2 linked regions of the Macaca mulatta genome follow. The protein of the gene in region 2 purifies or fractionates together with the protein of the main gene of each other region. This does not show direct contact. Links are inferred from orthologs where the notes say so. Each region holds a gene or a part of one and is shown on either strand. Other genes may lie near its edges.

What was found.
Region 1: the proteins of AKAP5 (region 2) and PRKACA purify together in Homo sapiens (affinity purification with mass spectrometry; 6 studies listed by BioGRID and IntAct, with this or other methods). This does not show direct contact. The link is inferred for Macaca mulatta from reciprocal best matches to the Homo sapiens genes AKAP5 and PRKACA.

What each region holds. Positions count from the first base shown.
Region 1 is NC_133424.1:14,678,685-14,682,330, forward strand, and holds the end of PRKACA (cAMP-dependent protein kinase catalytic subunit alpha), read right to left. Parts: intron 2,630-3,646; coding exon 2,465-2,629; intron 2,077-2,464; coding exon 1,951-2,076; 3' UTR 529-1,950; downstream 1-528.
Region 2 is NC_133412.1:137,558,460-137,562,860, forward strand, and holds the start of AKAP5 (A-kinase anchor protein 5), read left to right. Parts: upstream 1-1,533; 5' UTR 1,534-1,634; intron 1,635-4,401. UniProt on the Homo sapiens protein: Multivalent scaffold protein that anchors the cAMP-dependent protein kinase/PKA to cytoskeletal and/or organelle-associated proteins, targeting the signal carried by cAMP to specific intracellular effectors.

The sequences.
Region 1 (3,646 bases), on a different chromosome or scaffold from region 2:
CGCCCAGCCCCCCTCTCCACGCCTCCCCGGCGCGCTCCGCTCTCCGGACCGCACTTACCGGGAACTCGCCGCCCGCGGGCCGGGGCTGCCGCGCTCGCAGGGTGCTGCGGGGACCCTCTTGCTGCCGCCGCCCCCGCGTCCCTCAGGCGCGCCTGGCCCGGCGCTAAGGATGAGGGGAGGGGGGCGCGCACCCTCTCCCCCTTCTACTCCCCCTGCCAGGGCCGCCCCCGCTGCCGCTCGGCCTTCTGGCGCGCCGGCCCCAGCGCCTCCCTAGAGCGCCCTCTCGGTCCCGGGCTGGACGCCGAGGGGGCGCGCTGCAGATTTGGGGATCCCGAATCTGGGGTCAGAGGGCAGTTTGACGCTCGTTTCTCCTGCGGGGCCGAAGGAGTGCCGGAATTTCAGCTAAACCCTGTTTACAAGGACTTCAAGCCGGGACCTGATCGGCTTGCACTCTGGGGTCCGAAATTCCCTTTCCAACCCCCTGGGGGTGTGTGGGTGGGTGATCGAAGTCGAGAACACCAGCGACACTTTTTTTTTAAACAAAACTTTATTGGTAATAGTTTTCAAATATGTTTACAACAGCACACTGTTCAAGAGGAAGTCTCGTCCTTCGCAGCACACAGGTTGAATCGCCCCCGCACCCACCCGGGGCCCCACCCCAGGCCTGAGAACTCCTCCTGGGATGGAGAGAAGTTATGAGAGGGGGAAATATGGGGATGAATAGGGTGGCTCCCCAGCGGCTCCCCACTTTTCTATTACGAGAGAAAAAAGCACAAATGAGACAGTGGGGGAGAGGTGATGGACAGCTGACAGCTAAGCTGGAGGAGGGGCGCCCAGGATGGGGGAGGCGGAAGCTGGTGGGTGAGTAAAACAGGCAGCCCCTCCCCAGCAGCTCTAGCCTTGAACCCCGGGCCATGGCGTTGGGGGACTTGGCCTCTTCTGTTCCCTTTTGCAGGGATGCCCTTCCCATTCAGCTGAGGGAAGACTGGACATTAAAATCTAGGGGAGAATAAAATTAAGGAGTTGGGGGAAACGCTGTTGGGAGGAAAGACTTGGGCTTGGGGCTCCCCCTCTGTCTTTTTGGGGGATGACTCCTCTTTGGCAGGGAGAGGGGCAGCTGCTTTGTCTGGCTCTCAAAGCCCAAGTGTGAAGACAGGTCTATTGGGGAAGAAGAGAGCGGAGGCTTCCTAAAGGGGCCTAGACCCTCGCAGGATTGGCAGAGGATTCCCCGGGGAGGGGCCCAGGGGAGATTAGCAGCGGGGAGGTTCAAACCCCAGCGCCTCCCTTTCCAAAGTCAGTCTGCTTCTCTTTAAAATGGATTTGGGGAATGGGGGGACATGGGAGGGGTGGGAGTACAGGAAGGAGGGAGGCACTGGTGGAACTTAAATAAGATTTTAAATTGTTGTTTTTTAAAAAAAAATTCTAGCAAGCAGCCCACTGAACATGTCACTAAAAATCTCTCCTTCCCAGTCAGGATTACTCCGAAAGGAAGGTTGGCGCTTCGTTCATTTGCCCTTAGCAAGTGGGGCCTGTGGTTGGGTGGGATGGGGGTGTGGGTGGGGGATGGAGTTAAGTGTGAGCCCCTCTTTCCACACCCTGTCCCTGGATACACCAGCAAGACCTGGTCTGACTGGAGTTGAGAAACTCGTTTAAAACAGGCAGAAGTAGGCTGGGTGGGGCTGAGGGGCTGGGGGACTGTGGGGAAGGAGGAAGGGAAAAGTGGGGGAGGGGGCAGGAGGGCAAAGGGGATGAGGGGGAGCAGCTGATATTTCTGTCCCTCTGATTATCTGGGCTTCCTGCTCCCCCTAACCCTGGAGGGTGGGGTGGGGGTGAAATTAGATGCAAGGAACTCTGGGGCCCTCTGGCTGTTCAATCCAACCCTCCCACCCCCCCACCAAAAAAAAAAAAAAAAAAAAAGAAAAGAAAATCCATGGGGGCACAGGCACACCCCTAAAACTCAGAAAACTCCTTGCCACACTTCTCATTGATGGAGACCCGGATTTCTTCTTCCTCATAGTCGTCAAAGTTACTCGTATCCCCAGGGCCTTTAAACTTTGGTATGAAGGGAGCTTCCACCTGGAGAGGGATCAAGAATCACCCAGACCTCAGCATTCAACATAATCATTATTACAACAATAAATGCGAATGGCCTAACATTCAAGAGATATTTACTCTGACTCAGGCCTGTGCTTCCCATTAGGTTATGGATTCCTCTTAACAGCCTGAAACTCTTAATGTAGCCAACTCATCAAAGGGGAAATTATTTCCCAGAGAGGCATCTGCTGCACAAGGTCATGGAATGGCCAAATGACCCCAGAATCCCATTTCTAGACCCCACTGCTCTAAGCTCTCTACTCTAGGTTGCTCCTGAACCTGTGTTCTCTTCTCTTTCTCTCTATTGGCTGTCCTCCCTGACTCGCGGCTTGCTCCCAAACCCTCAGCAGCTTAAGGAGGGGAGACCCACCTTCCTCTGGTAGATGGCGATCCAGTCAGTCGTGGCAAACCACTTGTGGTTCTTGATATCATTGACCCCATTCTTGAGGTTCCCAAAGCGCTTGGTAAGATCTACCTGCAGGAGGTTCCGCAGCAGGTCCTTCAAGTCAGAGCTGAAGTGGGAAGGGAACCGCACCTGGAGGAAGGGGTACAAGGACAGGGTGGGAAGCTGGTCTGGAACTTGGGGAGCCCATGAGGCTTCTTTCTCCATCCAACAGTCCTACTGGGTGGGGGCCTCCAAAGCTGAGTGCCTGCTGGCATCCTGTAAAACAGCTCCTTGAGCCTACACTACAGTTTCCAATTTAGGAAGTGATACTGTGGCCTGAGAATCTGCATTTCTTTAAAAACTTTAAAAATTCAAGAGCTAGTTATTTTAAGTTTTTGTAGAGACAGGGTCTCACTATATTGCCCAGGCTGGTCTAGAACTCTTAGGCTCAACCGATCCTCCTGCTTTGGCCTCCCAAAGTACTGGGATTATAGGCGTGAGCCACCGCACCCAGCAAGAATCTGCATTAAAAAAAAAAAAAAAAAAAGTCTCATTCTGTAGCCCAGGCTGGAGTGCAGTGGTGCGATCTGGACTCACTGCAATCTCCGCCTCCTGGGTTCAAGGAATTCTCCTGTCTCAGCCTCCTAAGTAGCTGGGATCACAGGCTCACGCCACGACACCTGGCTAATTTTTGTATTTTTAGTAGAGACAGGGTTTCACCATATTGGTCAGGCTGGTCTTGAACTCCTGACCTCAGGTGATCCACCTGCGTCGGCCTCCCAAGGTGTTGGGATTACAGCTGTGAGCTACCGTGCCTGGCCCAATAATCTGCATTTCTAACAAATTCCCCAGCAACGGTGATGCTGGAAAGGGGTCCCCTTTAAGAACCATTGCTCTTAAGGCAAGTGCTATGATGATTTCCATTTCAGAGAAGGGGAAACTGAGGCTTGGAAGGGTTAAACAGCTCTTCCAAGGTCACATTGAGGCATGGGATGGGGCAATTCCATCTCAGGTCTACTGGACTCTAGAACTTGTATTCTCAGTTGCTGCTGCTGCCGCTGCTGCTGAAGGCATCTCTGCTGGGGTTCAGAGACTTCTGAAATATTCATGCTTATGACAAACTTTTTCTCTCCTCTCTTTCTGCATAGCTAAGGCTCTTCCATTCTT
Region 2 (4,401 bases):
AGTTCTTCACTGCACCTTACCAGGTTCTTCATCTGGATGCTATGCTGTGAGGGCCTGAGGAGCAGGCTGGGATTGTGATGGATCCTACTGGATTTTACAGCTGGAGCTCCCAGGAATGCCCTCATAGGGAATGTCCTGAAGGGAATCATGGGTAACTTGTAAGCTACCTCAACTTATTTTTGGAACTATGTAAGATATAAGATGGATGGAGCTGGGTTGCTGTGCCTTTCTCGCCTTGTCCGCATAGAGATGCAGCTGCTCCTGCAGGCCAAAGTTCTGCACGAATCACCTCCACCTGCTTCCCACTGGGAGACAAAGGTCTGAGAGCCTGTTTAGCGATGAACCACGATGATCTTTTTTTTTTTTTTTTTTTGAGACGGAGTCTCGCTGTGTCGCCCAGGCTGGAGTGCAGTGGCCGGATCTCAGCTCACTGCAAGCTCCGCCTCCCGGGTTTACGCCATTCTCCTGCCTCAGCCTCCCGAGTAGCTGGGACTACAGGCGCCCACCACCTCGCCCGGCTACTTTTTTTTTGTATTTTTTTTTTTTTTTTTTTTTTTTTTTTTTTTTTGAGACGGAGTCTCGCTGTGTCGCCCAGGCTGGAGTGCAGTGGCGCGATCTCGGCTCACTGCAAGCTCCGCCTCCCGGGTTCACGCCATTCTCCTGCCTCAGCCTCCGAGTAGCTGGGACTACAGGCGCCCGCCACCACGCCCGGCTAGTTTTTTGTATTTTTAGTAGAGACGGGGTTTCACCGTGTTAGCCAGGATGGTCTCGATCTCCTGACCTCGTGATCCACCCGCCTCGGCCTCCCAAAGTGCTGGGATTACAGGCTTGAGCCACCGCGCCCGGCTGTATTTTTTAGTAGAGACGGGGTTTCACCGTGTTAGCCAGGATGGTCTCAATCTCCTGACCTCGTGATCCGCCCGTCTCCGCCTCCCAAAGTGCTGGGATTACAGCCTTGAGCCACCGCGCCCGGCCTACGATGATCTTATACTCAAGTCACTCCTGAGAAAGTCGGGTTTCTTTCTGTTTCCATTTCTATATGTAATTTTCGCTTCAAACAAAAATGACCTCGCTATTCCATACACAGTTTTGAATCCTGCTTTTAAAATGCGATGTCTGCCTTGTCTTTAAATATTCTGAGGGGGAGGAGAGGACATGTGTAACAGGACTGTCTATAATTTGAAACTGGACCTCACCATTTAGCGTCTCAGAAACGCGGGGTTCATTGCCCTGGCCGCTCCCCGCCTTCCCTCCGCCCCCCACCCCTCCCCGAGCCTTCGGCTGGCTCTCGCGGTCCCCGCCTCGGCGATAATGTAGTCTGGCGGCGGAGATTGGCGCCCAGGCGGAGCACGGTGGCCTTCCCCGCGGCAGGCAGGCTGCTGCTGCAGGTGGGTCCCGGCTTCCGTGCCGCCCCCCGCCTCCCGCGTCGCCACGCCCCTGCCCGCCCGCTCGGCTCCGCTCCGCTCGCATTGGCTCTGCGGGCTGTCTGTCCCCGCGCGGTGGGGAGGGGGCGCACCCGGCGGCGGGCTCTGCAGAGGGCGCCTTGCTTCGGCTCCCTGGAGGCCTGGGCGCCGGGCCCCGCGAGCGCGCCGCCACCTTGGGAACAGTGTTGGCCAAGGACCCCGACGCCCTACGTGAGTAAAGGCAGGGCGGGGAGCCTGCTGGAGAGGAGGGTCGGGGGCAGTGTCCGGTCAGCGGACCGCGGAGTGGGCAAGAGGCGCCCACTGGACATGGGGGATGTGAGCCCCCTGAGGTGCTGGGAGTAAGAACGCGGGAGGTCGCTTGTCCGCAGGAATCCGCGGCCAGGACGACCCTCATCAGGTCTGCCCACCTATCACCTTCGCGTTACAGCTTGTCTTAGAAGCATGGGTTGCCGGTGGCTTTTTTCCTTCTTTATCCCTCTTTGCGAAATGTGATTCTGGGTTTCTGGCCATTACATTATAATTCTGCAGACAGCTTGAAGCTGGGTTATCTGTTCCACGCCCCCGGCATTTTCCTTTTTGAGTACTTTATCCTGCGCTCTGTCTCCTGCCATAAGGGGCGTCAAGCTAGAATTCGAGATTCCTTCCTCCAGGAGGAACCTTCGTGGTCCATATCTGGTGCTGGGAAAGATGCATTGCTTTCCTCGGGTAGTGGATGTTCTTTGCTGCTTAAGGGAAAAAGGAAAGGGAGTGTTTTCTGTGACATGAGACTTGAAATTCTATCAGGAAATGAGCACAGGGACTTTAAGATTTCCTGAGGCGATAAAGCTACCCTTGCTGGTTAAGAGCGAATCCTTTGCAGTCTGACATTCTGCAAAGTTTTAATGTCTACAGACTGCATTATTTTCCCCCTTCAGTTAAGTTTCTGTTTGGGCATTCGTTTTATTTCTAGTGTGTGAGACACATTCAAGTGAGCTTCTCAAACCATTGTCTTTGCGCAATCCACGTTAGTTTCAAATGATACACTCCTGAACATCTCATTTCAATATTTCTATTATGTGGTAATACAGCCTCTGCTTAACAAAAGTGCTCAGGTGTTGAAAACTCACAAGAGGTGAGAAGATTTAAACAGAGTTATCAGCTGAGGTTCTAGTGCTCACTGAAATATAAATGTGAGGAGAAACACTGTCAAATGTCCATATTTTAGTTCCGTCATTGTTCTAGAATGACTTTATCTTTCTGTTAGAGGCATACAGTATGAAACACCCAACCTAAGAGAATATTTACTTAGATCATAAACTGATTTTCAGGGTTCCAGTTCTTTCCACAGTTCATAAAATTATGGGTTACCCACATGAAACTTCAGTGAAGGATTTACATAAAAACAATATAAAGAATGAGTCCCTTTGCTTATTTTAGGGCATCCACCCACTAAAATTCATAGGATCTTTGTTAGATAATCACTTCCCATTTCCATTCTTTGGTACCATCATACCATTCTGAGGATTAAATTTTCAATACACCTTTGTATTATCTAACAGTTTGCCAATTGCATAGTTTATCAACCTATTTTTGGCTGTTAAATTAGTTCCTGAACCGAAAAAGCAAAATATAAAGAATTTCTTTTTTTTTTTTTTTTTGAGACTGAATCTGGCTCTGTCGCCCAGGCTGGAGTGCAGTGGCCGGATCTCAGCTCACTGCAAGCTCCGCCTCCCGGGTTTACGCCATTCTCCTGCCTCAGCCTCCGGAGTAGCTGGGACCACAGGCGCCCGCCACCTCGCCCGGCTAGTTTTTTGTATTTTTTAGTAGAGACGGGGTTTCACCGTGTTAGCCAGGATGGTCTCGATCTCCTGACCTTGTGATCCGCCCGTCTCAGCCTCCCAAAGTGCTGGGATTACAGGCTTGAGCCACCGTGCCCGGCTTAAAGAATTTCAAAAGCTTGGTTTTCAAATAACAAGAACTCAGACTACTCTTGGTTCAATTATGAGTTGATAAGTGCCTTGTGATTAAATGACCATTAATCAATTTTTAAATTTTTTTACTAATGAATATACTGCAGATTAGTATCCCCAAACAATCCATTTTCTGATGAAACTCTTAAAGCCCAGTTTCAGAACATAAGCTTTAAGCAACAAGCAATCTTTTGTTTAATCTGAGCTCTGTTACAGCTCTGCCTTAATCTCAGCCAAATTGCTTCATCTGTAGATGGTGATACCACCATCTTTGTAATACTGTGGTGAGGATTACAGATGTATGTAAAAGTGTGTGCACCGCCTAATACCCAAGAATTGCTCAATAAATGTCAGCTATTGTTACTCTTACTGACCTCCAACTATGTGCAGATTATGGTGGAAACATGTGATACAGCAAATACAGTACTTAAATGAAAATGTCAAAATTATACAACTAATTTAAGAGTGGGAAATGACAGTAATGCTAAATTTTCCTAAGAATATGTATGAAAAGTAGCACTTCCTTGATGGAACATACATTTTTAGAACAGAAACCTTATGTTATAATGGAAAAACTAGAGAGTCAAAGTCTCTAGTTCTAACTCTGGCTATGACCTTATCTAGCTGCATGGCTTTTAACAAGACAATTGCTCCCCTCTGGAGTTCAGTTTTGTCATCTGGCTGGATTTGAGTAATCTCAAATAATCTCTAAAGTCCTTTGCAGCTTTAAAATTATTTATTGAGTGTGATAAAAAATACATTAGCTTGTTTTTCATCCTGCACTTCATTTTTTGTTCTTCCTGTTGTTTGCTTAATTTGCACTTTAGAGCCATAAGCAATTCACACAGACAACACAACTAAAGAACTAATAATATCAGACTTGCAGGGTAATCCAAAATGAAGTTTCAACAAAGAGGATAAAACAATAGAACCACATTGAACTCTTTAATAGGGCCAAAGTAAACCCCAACGTTTATTCTCCAGTCATTTCATTATTATATGGAAAATATGCCTGGTAGAATCTTATA